Rattus norvegicus: one gene and its partners. The protein of the gene in region 1 interacts with the protein of each later gene in a pairwise test. Links are inferred from orthologs where the notes say so. Each region holds a gene or a part of one and is shown in the gene's direction. Other genes may lie near its edges.

Region 1 (3,648 bases):
TGTTATAAATATCAGCTACTAGGGTCATGTGACCAGTTGTACAAATGAAGATTATAATTATGGAGTGTTTCTGTTGCATTTTGTTAAAAATGTGTTTATACAGATTTGTGTTTCCTTTACCCAATTTATCATGTAGTATCAGTTAAGAGAATATCAATGGTTATCATAGTTTAGTTTTAGATATTAAAAGAATTTCCCTGAAGGGACATTACCACCCAAATGCCTGAGTTTGTAATGCATTTACAGTTGTGGGGATAGTTAATACCATGTCAGGTGGGGTTCTGTTGAGCTTACTGACCTTAACTCTAGTGTGAATGTGAAAAACTCATCTGCTTTATTTAATACTTACTTTTCCTTAGTCTGAGGAAGATTATATTGAGAGAAGAAGAGAAGTTGAAAGTATCCTGAAGAAAAACTCAGATTGGATATGGGATTGGTCAAGTCGGCCAGAAAATGTTCCCCCCAAGTAAGTCTGTTTTCAACATTCTTTTTTTTTTTTTTTTTCGGAGCTGGGGACCGAACCCAGGGCCTTGCGCTTCCTAGGTAATGTTTTCAACATTCTTGGTCAAGGTTTTTCCTTTGACAAGGGGACACTGATTGGTACTTTCTTTATACCCTAGGGAGTTCCTTTTTAAACACCCGAAGCGCACAGCTACTCTCAGCATGAGAAACACAAGCGTTATGAAGAAAGGGGGTATTTTCTCAGCAGACTTTCTGAAGGTTTTCCTTCCATCTCTGTTACTGTCTCATCTGTTAGCCATTGGATTGGGGTAAGTGATGTTTCTATGAGAGTATGGATACCCTATGACAGGGTGGATGGATCTTGGTGATTCTAGCCCCCAGCAATTTATTTCTGCATTGTTTATGGAGAGAGATGATACTTCCAAGTCACTGTTAGGTCAGGTAAAAATCCTGAGCTATGGAAGGCCCTTGTCTTTCACAGGGGTTCTCATGCTGGGTCTCTTTCTTGTGCCACCTCTACAGTGGGTGGATGATCCTGTCTTTTGGCAGGAATAATTAATTAAGGCCTTCAGGTTTCTGCTTTTGTATCTAGTTTAGACTAAAACAGACCAGGGAATACAGCTGTGGCTTCTCTAGATGGGACCAATGCTAAAGAATGGGTCACCAAAGGGACACTATGTATTCTGGGCTGGCCGCACAGGGATGAGATTGGGTTTCAGATCTTCCTGTGTCTACCTCCTGAGTGCCGAGATTACAGATGTCTGCGTACCCAGCGCTATATAATATTATGGCTAAGCACTCTACCAGCTGAGCTACATCCCCAGGCCTTACTCTTCCTTAGGCCTATCTATACCCTCTGTCCATGTCAGGGTGAACTCACCCTGTATATGGAGAATGGCTGGGATGCCACTGTGGGCATCTGGCCCATGTTAGTTGGGGATATGTTTGGGACAGAAGGCTCTGTAGTCTGCTTATTCTTTTCCCCAAAAGCTGTCCTTGTGGCTGACACTCAGTTTGATCTCTTGGGATTTTGTGGGTCTCATAGGTACATGCGATCCCAGTCCTCCCTGCCCTTATCTTTCTGCACTGCAGACCCTCAGCATACCTACCTATAGAGCTGCCTATAGAAATGAGATGAAATGGCTGCCTGGGTGCCAGAGGCTCCTCCTAGCTTGCAGGGCTGGAGTCTTACCTGCCTTTACCACTCTCCATGTGTAGTTCTCTCCTGGTGCTTGGTCTCACGGACGACAGGTTCATCCCCATCACCTGGGGCAAGCAGTAGGGTTCAGTGGCAATTGGGAAGCACAGGCAGGGGAATCCCTGAATTATAGGCCAGAGTTACTTATTGAGATCTGGTCTCAAAACACAAAATAGAACAGGACCAGCAAGGGGAAAAAACTTGTGGACAGGGCCTAGGAATTTGTGTGTTCAGTCTCCAAGCTGAGTTTTCTCTTCACAGAATCATTTCTGGATCTACTGTCTCTGTCCTTCATACTTCCCAGTCTCAGAACTTGATGTCATCTCTACCCAAGATCTCTTGGCAATTTCCAGTCTTTCATGAACACTGCCCTCTTTAGTTCAGATAGTTCACTGCCCAGTCTTATTTCTTCCCAGTCTGCACAGACCTGGCCAGGTGGAATTCTTTCCAGTCATTTGCCTTCCTGATTGCAGAGAAGGGAGGCTTCATTACTTATTCCTTGGTTAGGCTTTGAGGTTAGTGGTAATGAACTGGATATGAAGCCAGCCTGCCCTTGCCCTTCAGCAGTGTGGCTCGTTTGGTATACAGAAGGGAATGCGAAGCTGTATATAATACTGATAGAATGTGGAATTGGTTTGTACTTAGATTTGAACCTGGGACCTGGTACATGGTAGACAGACACTCCGAAATTGAATTTCAACTCCTATTGTTAATAGTATTTTTTTTTTTGTACATTCAATCTCTTGCACCACTAGAATAATTGAAACAATTGAAATTAAATTTTAAGTAAGAAAAATTAGACCAATATGAAATACATATTAGATGACTAAAAACACTTGATAAAGGTTGCAGACAGTAGGGCTGGAGAATGGCTCAGTGGTTAAGAGCACTGCTTGTTTATCTGGAGAACTTGGGTTTAAGTCCCAGCACCTACATGGCAGCTCTAGTTCCAAGGATCTGACACCCTCACACAGAGATATATGTAGGCAAAACACCAATGCTCATAAAAATAATAAAATCATAAACAGGAGAAAAGATTACAGTCATACTTTATCAAGGGTAAGGTAGCTAGCTAGGTCCCCTCTAAAAGCTGTGGCCATGGCCTGTTTGGGCCATGTGAAGTCACCTGAGAATTGTGAGACCTGACTGATTGCCATCCCTTTCCTCTCTAGGATCTACATTGGAAGGCGTCTGACAACTTCCACTAGTACCTTTTGATGAGACTTGGATCTGCCTTCTGCTCACACAGTGAGGATTCACGCTGAGCTGTGACAGCTAATTGAAGAGCTAGCATGATCCTTGGGTGTCTGCACTATGTGTGTTTATTTGTTTTGTAAATGCGGTGTTCCTGATTTAGTGAGACAGAATAGACTCTTACCACGACCTATAATTATACCTATGGGATCAATTAATAAGCATGTCAGACTGATGCCTATTGTAGCATTTATTAGTAAATTTCTTTGAATATATTAGATATAAATAGTATAAATAATTTTAATATAGTAGCAATAGTGTATTTAAAAATGATCTGTAATTGTAATCCAGTTAAGACACCTTACACTTCAAAAGAATGACTTAAGTGATATTAAAATCATTAAAGGGTTTTCCCCAAAGGAATTCTGTGGCCTTATAATCCTATTATGTAGTAGAAAATTAAAGGGTGTGGGTTATTTGTAAAGGCCTCTTACTTTATGAATTCAGTAGCAAGGAGAGACTAAGGTTACCCACAAACTCCACTTTGCAGTCCCCCTCTTCTTGCTTGCAGGATGAGGATTCCAGCCTTGCTGTCCACCATTACCTTGGGTGGGCAGTTGTGTTACGCCTTTATCTCTCTGCTGAGTGAAGTTCTACGGTTTGTACTTAAATTTTGTGTGCTTTTAAAATCAGCTGTATTGTAAGCAAATCTGTCTACTTTAAAAGACTGGAAATGAAAAAAATCTTTGCCAAATTCTTTGGAGAATACTGGATTTGCATATGAATTAATCAGT
Region 2 (4,290 bases), on another chromosome or scaffold:
CTGTCCTTGGCATGGGAAGTCCACTACCCTGAACAGTCTTCTCAAGGGCAAACTTTTGAGGGTGGTCATCCTTGCTCGTCATCCCAGTGTCTGGGAGTTGGAGGTGAGTACATTGCTCCAAGGTGTACCACTGACTCAAGTCCTAAAGATGAGGAGGAGTTTCTTAGTTTAGCAAGTGCCAATTGACAAGTCCTGGTGAAGCCTCACTCTGGATGTCCCTTTACCACCACAGCTTCTTTTCATTAGCACACTCCGGCCTTGAAAAAGTCTCCAAATTTTGTTTTGTGGACTCTGACTTCAGCTCGAACTTTCTTCTTCAATGCAACGGTATCCTTAAACTAAGTCTGTCCTCATTTCTTTGATATCCTCCTTGTTGACCTATAGCAGTAATCAAATGATAGTTGTTTCCCAACTTGACTGATTTGATCACATTTTATTAATGTGTGAACTGCAAGAGAGGAGAGAGAGAGAGAGAGAGAGAGAGAGAGAGAGAGAGAGAGAGAGAGAGAGAGAGAGAGAGATGGAGAATTTAGCCTTATGTTTCAGTCAATTATATGCATCATAAAAAGTCCAGAAAAATGAAGCCAGTGCAACGGTAAACAATTCCAAGTCTTAAAATCTTAGGAGACTTCGTTCTAGTCCCTTGTTCTATTTTGAAATTCCTGTCTTCTGAGAATCCATGTTTTTTCTCCTTATTTGAAAATAGTAGGGCTAATATGTACTGAAGTACAAGTCTTGAGGGGGAGACAGAATGAGAAAGCATTGTGCTCTGTTGTACAGAAGACAGAGTCACTACCAATAAATGTTTACTCCTTTCTTAAGCCTCAAAGAGAATCATTCGCTTTATGTTGCCAGAGTAATGTACCTTAGGTACTCATCCATGGTTTCCTCCCTGAGGTAAGAAACTTCTTTGTAGATAACCTTCTTGCAAATGTTGCCAACTCCTGGCCATTATCGAGTATTTAATACATACATATGTAAGGTATGGGCACATGAAAGGATGTGTGCATGCCAGCAGAGTTCTAACAAACCAATGTTGAATTCAAGATACCCAAACTGCTTAACAGTTTACCTATGGCCATACCAATTGACCGTGTCAGTTTCAATGGGGAGTGTAACAGAGGTCTTTTAAGATTATAATCTACATACAGGCATGGAGGTGATCACAAAATACCACACATTTCAGTTTTCTTGAGAAATGCCAGCCCCAGAAACAGGATCTAGAGGCAAAAGGGGAAATTACTCCAACGTGCTTTTCATTTCCTGCTTTGGGCACTGGCTAGACTACGTAGGCTGAGCTCCATGAACCTCAGGGAAGGGGCTCTTTCAGGGTTTGGTTTAGAGATCCTCATCCTGGTAGTTATTTTGCTGGGAAAGAACATTCAAGTGCTCTGCCTACGTAGAGTCCTGTGAAGCAGTGGAATATCATTCTCAAATAGAGAACATGGACGAAGATGGATATACTCAATTAGACTTCGGCACTCGAAACATCCACAAAAGACCTGTAAAATCAGAGAAAGGTATCCACTTTCTTTCTGCTAATAGTACCTTCATTCTTATTTAGTGAAATAACAGAAGTAGAGACCTGGAGAGACTCTTGATTTGTAGGACTTCCTACAAAAATATATTTTCATATATATATATATATGTATATATATCATATATGGTATATATATGGTATATATTTGGTATATGTATAGTATTTATTTGATATATATTTGATATATAGTATATATTTGATATATATTTGGGATATCAAGAGATAGATAGATAGATAGATAGATAGATAGATAGATAGATAGATAGATAGATAGATAGATTTGCATATAGTGCAGTGACTTCCACAAACTGCTTTTAGTTTGTGGCAGAAAACAGGACTAGTCCACTCTGCGGTCATAGTTACTTCTTCGGTGGGAAGTGACACTTGTAACATGAGTAAAGGAGAAAAATGAAAGAATTTTAATAGAGTTGCTTTTTGTTTGCCTTTTAGTAACTCGTGAGGGGGCCAGGAAACAGATAAACAAACAAACTGTACAATCGTACAACATTCGATGCTAAAGTGGTAGGGGATAAAACCATGGAGGAATATGTGGCAAATAAAAATGAATGCATTCAAGAGAAGCTAGGAGTCAAAGGATTTTAAATCCCGAATATAATATACTTTTTTGTTAAGAGATTAATTTGGATTTTATAAAATGGGAAGTTAGTCAGTAATGAAAAAGACATGCTACATCAAAATGTCTCATTATCAGGAGATATATATTAAAACAGAAACAAGACAAGAATAGAGGATATTAAAGCATCTCCTCATAAAGTGAGTGTTTTAGTCTCTTTCCGGGTCACCTCTTGGGCAGCTCTATGACTTGGTTTCCTGCTGGTGGTGTCATAAGCGTAAAACAAAGTCAGCTAGAGCTCCCAAGGACTAAGCCACCAACCAAAGAGTACACATGGGGGAACCTTTAGATCCAGTTACAGATATGGCAGAGAATGGCATTGTCTGCCATCAATAGGAAGAGAAGCCCTTGGTCCTGTGAAGACTCTTTTCTCTGGTGCAGGGGAATGCCAGGGTGTTGGGGTGGGAGTGGGTGGGAGGGAGGGGGAGCATCCTCATAGAAGCAGGGGGAGGAGGGGTGGAAGAGGGGAATAACATCTGGAATGTAAATATATGAACTATCCAATAAGAAATAAAAAATAAAAACAAAGTCAGTTCACTGTTAAAGGAAGAGTTGACTCACAGGTTCTAACATCAGTTGGCTTTCTTCTGCTTTTTGGTGTTCACATTATGCAATTATTTTCCTCTTATAACCACATACACAATTCCTTTCTTGTGAAATTTGCTTGGAAAATAGTACAGAAGTTAATTGACGGAAGGGGCAAGGCTTATATGCTTATGCTGTGAAAATTAAAGTGCTCACTATCAACAACGGTATTCGAAGGTGCTATTGATCCAATTTCAAACCTGGAAGATAAAAACAAAAATTTAAAAAGGACATAGAGAAAATAAGTTGCTTAAATCATGCATCATATAAATGAGAAGAAAAAGCTGTCCTTAGCAGTTGGTGCTGCTTCTTCTACAGAAAGCTGTTTGATTTATAACCAAGTAGGACTTCAGGGAATGAATAATGCCCAGGCCTATAGAATAGCCTGTGAGCCTACTATGACCATGATACCATAGCAGAAGGAAGAGAGGAAGAAGCAACCTGAATCTGGAGGACAATGGAGACTCACACTGCAATTCTAGAGTCTCAAGTTGGTAGAGCCTAGTGGCTGCTGATCCTTTTAGAACCATCCCCATTTCAGTGAGCTGAGCTGTTGAAGAGTTCCACAGTCTTCCCTCATTTTCTTTCTCATCTCATTGACTTTCCAGGAAGCCCAGCTCCATCTTCTCGTTGGCGGTCCATTGCGGTAGCTTTAGGAATCCTGTGCTTGCTCACAGTAGTGGTCGCAGCAGTGCTGGGTGCCCTAGGTGAGTATGGGTGAGGGAGGTTGATAAAGGCACGGACAGTGATTATGAAATTAATTTATGCCAGGCACTCTCTCAAGGGGTTGGCGTGTATAACTTCATTTAATCCTTACATTAACCCCATTGGGTTTGTGCTATTAATTTGTCTCAGTTATAGGAGAATTTAGAAATTGGAAGATTAACTCTTCCATAGTTATAAGCTAGTCAGTGGTGGAATTATAAGAAATGTAGAAAATCTGCTTCATAAAACACATACTTTTCAGTATATTGCTCTACTGTTCTACATAGATAGGTGACTTTTTTTAAAGTGGAATTTAAAGTATAAGTTAGTGGAGGGAAACTTGCAGAGCCAAAAGAAACACAATCTTCCTTAGAAGACAGCTATATTAAGTTAAAATGAGTTGTGTGTAATTTTTTTGAAAGCCTCATGATACATGGGAATTATCTTACACATGATCTTTAATAAAGAATATCTTAACTTTACCAAGTATTGCCTGAGGCACTGAAAAATTACTAAGCAGATGCTTTGTGAAGACTTAATAGATCTCTTTAGGTTTCTATATTTCGTGAATCCTATGCCGATAAAGTTATATGATACCTTCAAAGAACCTTCGTCACTTATTAGTCAAATGCTTGCTGAGAACAGAGACATTCTATGTATTCCATGTTTGGTAACTCTCAGATTGCTAGCTAGCATTTTGAAGTAATTGAAGAAAGCAAAAGGTATTACTTTGTTAAATTATTATTTAAAATTGTTTACAATTCACAGTTAGATCTATGTCATTTTCTTTTTGCTACCTTCCTCACTGGCCTTTCTGTGTATTTCA
Region 3 (4,252 bases), on another chromosome or scaffold:
GCGGCGGTGGTCCGGCGCGCGCTCCCCGGGGCGGCCGCGGCTCCTTTAACCCGGGCGGCAGGCGGGCGGCGGGCGGAGGCGGCGGGCGGGCGCTCAGAGGAGGGTTCTTTCTTCTTTTTTTGAATGAACGGTGACGTACGTACAGGAAACCAGGCGCTCCGACGGAGAATGAAGTAAGAGGCCGGGCCCCCCGCCCCGCGCCCGCCCCCTTCCTCCCCGGCCCGTCCTCCCGCCCCGCGTCCAGGTCCCCGCCGAGCCGCCGCCGCCAACACCGAGGTGCCCGGGCCCTCCCCAGCCGCAGCCGTCACCACGGAACGGGCTGCGCGGCGCGAGCACGAGGAGGCGGCCGCCAGCGCCGCCCGCAGCAGAGGAGGAGAAAGGGTGCGCAGCCCGGAGGCGGGGTGCGCCGGTGGGGTGCAGCGGAAGAGGGGGCCGGGGGGGGGAACTTCGTAGCAGTCATCCTTTTTAGGAAAAAGAGGGGGGGCAAACCCTCCCCCACCACCTCCTTCTCCCGCAGCGCACCACACACAGTGCGCGGGCTGCTCCTTGGGCACCGGCGGCCCCAGCGCGTCCTTGCCTGCATTTAGCAAGCTGCTTTTTTTCCCCTTTCGGAAAACGCATTGGCCCTTCGGAGTTTAATCAGAAGAGGATTCTGGTCCCCGTTCCCCGGCCACCGCTCCTCCATCGTCCCCCTGGCGTGTCTCTCCCCTGGAGGTCTGAAGCGGTCTGGTGGATACCGATCCATGCCTGCGCTCCAGCGTGTGTGTGCGCGAGTGTAAATTGGCGAGAAGAGGGGAGAATCACAGGACTTCTGCAAATACTGCAAATACTGAACATTGTAATTCATCTGCTGCCGCCGCCGCCGCCGCCGCCGCTGCCTTTTTGCCCCGCTGCGGTGCTCTTGAGATCTCTGGTTGGGATTCCTACGGATTGACATTCTCAGTGAAACCGGAGTGTGAGGACACAATTCTGATTTTTTTCTTCACCTATCCTCCAGACCCCAACTCCTGATTCATTGCAAGTTTCAAAGAAGCTTATACAAGGAGACTTCTGAAGATCGATGGTGTATTTGTATTTGTTTGGGTTTTACCAAAAAAAGGGGGGAAACTTGACAGAAGATCATGCGGTCCTTAGAAAATGCAGTAAGTTCTTTGCACAGGAATTTGGTTTGATGTAACTTTCAATGGACGCGTTTGAAATATTTTTTACTTAAAGTGCATTCGAGCAGATTTAATTCCCAGACAATTTAATGCATTTTCTTTAACGTGTAACTTGTAGCGGATATACCTTTCTTACAATAAATATATAAAGGAAAACACACCTGATTTTAACTGCTTACATCGTCCTGCCTCCTCACCTTTCAGCATTGCGGAGGAAGTAGATTGATATTAACCAAGCTTAATAAATAATGTGCCTCATGAAATAAAAAGCTGAAAGGAATTTGAATAAAAATTTTCTGCATCTCATGCCAAGGGGGAAACACCAGAATCAAGTGTTCGTCATAACTAAAGACACCCCTTCATCCAAGAATGCAAAGCACATCCAATAAAAGCGCTGGATTATAACTTCTTTTTTCTCTCTTTCGGGCCGTGGGGCGGGAGCCGGGACGCGAAGTGCTATTGGTACCTGCAGCTTCTTTCCCCGGAAGGATGGCGCAAGCCGGGAGAACAGGGTATGATAACCGGGAGATCGTGATGAAGTACATCCATTATAAGCTGTCACAGAGGGGCTACGAGTGGGATACTGGAGATGAAGACTCCGCGCCCCTGAGGGCTGCCCCCACCCCTGGCATCTTCTCCTTCCAGCCTGAGAGCAACCGGACGCCCGCTGTGCACCGAGACACGGCTGCCAGGACGTCGCCTCTACGGCCCCTTGTCGCCACCGCTGGGCCTGCGCTCAGCCCTGTGCCACCTGTGGTCCACCTGACCCTCCGCCGGGCTGGGGATGACTTCTCTCGTCGCTACCGTCGCGACTTTGCAGAGATGTCCAGTCAGCTGCACCTGACGCCCTTCACCGCGAGGGGACGCTTTGCCACGGTGGTGGAGGAACTCTTCAGGGATGGGGTGAACTGGGGGAGGATTGTGGCCTTCTTTGAGTTCGGTGGGGTCATGTGTGTGGAGAGCGTCAACAGGGAGATGTCACCCCTGGTGGACAACATCGCTCTGTGGATGACTGAGTACCTGAACCGGCATCTGCACACCTGGATCCAGGATAACGGAGGCTGGGTAGGTGCATGTCTGGTTGAATGAGTCTGGGCTTTGATCTCAAGGCGGGGATGCTCAGGTTGGGGTGTGAGTGGATTCTGGGTCAAAATGGGCCGTCGAGCCGATGAAATAAAATCGAGTTTGTGGCTTTGCTCCCCTGACCCCTCACCCCCTTCCTCTGGGTAGATCACGCCTTGCCAACCATGTGTTAACTCCTGCCCACTGGCTGTGAGAGAGCAAAGGTTCAGCATTTTTGATCCAGTAGGATTGGGAGATAAGTAGTATCCCTCCAGTGACTCAGAGTTACTTAGTCCAAGTAGCTTGCTGCAGATGTTTTGGGTCCTGTGTAGGAACCAGACCTCCAGTGCTCCCTCTTGACCAGTGCACCTTTAGTTCCTCTGGCGGACTAACAAACTTAAAAAGGTCCAACTAGACAAACAGGCTCCACCAGAGGACGCAGGCAAACCTTTTCTAACTCACTTGGGAACATTTTCCCGAAGAAAAACAATACAGCTGCTTTTCCTGGAAATCATAGCTAAGCTTGTAAAAAGGTAAGCTTAAGTATCCGTGGATGTTTGCGGAATCCAGTCAGTCTGTGCCATAGCCCCAGTGGGCACGGTCGTGGGTGCTTTGTCCATCGGTGAATCTGCAGGGATTTAGAAGTTTGCATCTGCTTCAATGTCTCTTACTTACCTCTACCTATAGTCTACATAGTTGTGCGATCTCCACTGAGTGGACTTATATCTAGGGTGCCTCTGAAAGGAGTGGTGGAGTCCACTTAGCTGGGGGGTCTCCAGCCCTGACAAGTTAAAATGATTTGTATCGAGCGCTTACCTAGGAAGCGCAAGGCCCTGGGTTCGGTCCCCAGCTCCGAAAAAAAGAACCAAAAAAAAAAAAAATGATTTGTATCCGTAACTTTGATGAGCATCTGTGGAGTGATTGTTTTCTGGTATCTTGGGAGGTCAAGCTTCCATATTTTACCATAGGATTTAAGCTTTTTCCTGGTTCTTCGCCGGCAGAGAGCAGACTCAAGGCTTGTTAGACCTAAAACAATTGAGTTATGAGAAAGCAGTAATTGTTGTCTGACTTTTTAAAAAAGAACTTGCATTAATGAAAAGGGTTTTCATTTTAGTCCTGCCTTGGTAGTATCAAGAGAAGAAGTAAAAAAAAAAAAAAAATTAGAACCTTACAGGGACAAAAAGCCTATAACTGGCTGAATGTGAACCAAATATCTAGAAGCACATTATGTTTTTACTACAGTTTGCAAGATGTGCTAATATTCATAGGTCCCGAAAAGGAAAAAGCCAGGAAAAATAGATGATTGATATGAACATCTGATCTTATTTGACCAATGTTGACAAAATATTGGTGGCACTGTTCAATGTTTAAAAGTAAAATTAACTCAAATATCAGAGTTTAAAGTGCCTGAAATTCACATGCTGTTTGTGAATTGCATGTTTGTTGACATCCCACAGGATCAGATTGTTAGTGGCGCTGGAAGACTTGGCTGAAGGACAGAAACTAATTTGTTAGATGTTGAGTTAAGTAGGTTTTTTTTTTTTTTTTTGCCACTCTATTCAAAGAGGTGGGAACTTCAGAATCATTTTAAAATCAAAGTAAAATTGATCTAGGATTATTATTTCATATTTCTATTAAAAAATAAATGTTTCTTTCTATTTGAAAGAAATCCAAAGCAGTGAATGTGTGGTGTTGATATCAAGTTAATAAAAAGGAGGGAAACAGGATTGTATGTTTCTGATAGAAATTCAGATACAACCTGACCCTTGGTGTCGACGTGCAGTGAGTTAACGTGCCAGACAGCTGAGCTTTCTCTTTAAATGAAGCGTCCCATTTTTCCGTGTTCATCATCAAGTTTTGGTCGTAGGGCATATCTTTGTGGTCAACAGGTATCTGAAGTTGATAAATGCATAGGCTTCATGTTATGAAGCCAAACCACAATGGCATATTGGAAGAGATGCTAAAAAAGTTTTTTTTTTTTTTGACAAAGCCTCTTAATAGTAAACGTAAGTCATATAGAACCACAAATG

What was found.
Region 2: the proteins of Bnip3 (region 1) and Clec7a interact in binary tests that used the Homo sapiens proteins (3 or more experiments, as listed by UniProt). The two-hybrid records come from large-scale screens. The link is inferred for Rattus norvegicus from reciprocal best matches to the Homo sapiens genes BNIP3 and CLEC7A.
Region 3: the proteins of Bnip3 (region 1) and Bcl2 interact in a two-hybrid assay, tested with the Homo sapiens proteins (2 studies listed by BioGRID and IntAct). The link is inferred for Rattus norvegicus from reciprocal best matches to the Homo sapiens genes BNIP3 and BCL2.

Annotation. Positions count from the first base shown.
Region 1 is NC_086019.1:203,137,941-203,141,588, reverse strand, and holds part of Bnip3 (BCL2/adenovirus E1B 19 kDa protein-interacting protein 3), read left to right. Parts: intron 1-359; coding exon 360-466; intron 467-620; coding exon 621-770; intron 771-2,832; coding exon 2,833-2,878; 3' UTR 2,879-3,648. UniProt on the Homo sapiens protein: Apoptosis-inducing protein that can overcome BCL2 suppression. May play a role in repartitioning calcium between the two major intracellular calcium stores in association with BCL2.
Region 2 is NC_086022.1:164,596,914-164,601,203, reverse strand, and holds the start of Clec7a (C-type lectin domain family 7 member A), read left to right. Parts: upstream 1-1,376; 5' UTR 1,377-1,444; coding exon 1,445-1,520; intron 1,521-3,367; coding exon 3,368-3,466; intron 3,467-4,290.
Region 3 is NC_086031.1:23,364,062-23,368,313, reverse strand, and holds the start of Bcl2 (apoptosis regulator Bcl-2), read left to right. Parts: upstream 1-1,413; 5' UTR 1,414-1,649; coding exon 1,650-2,225; intron 2,226-4,252. UniProt on the Homo sapiens protein: Suppresses apoptosis in a variety of cell systems including factor-dependent lymphohematopoietic and neural cells. Regulates cell death by controlling the mitochondrial membrane permeability. Appears to function in a feedback loop system with caspases.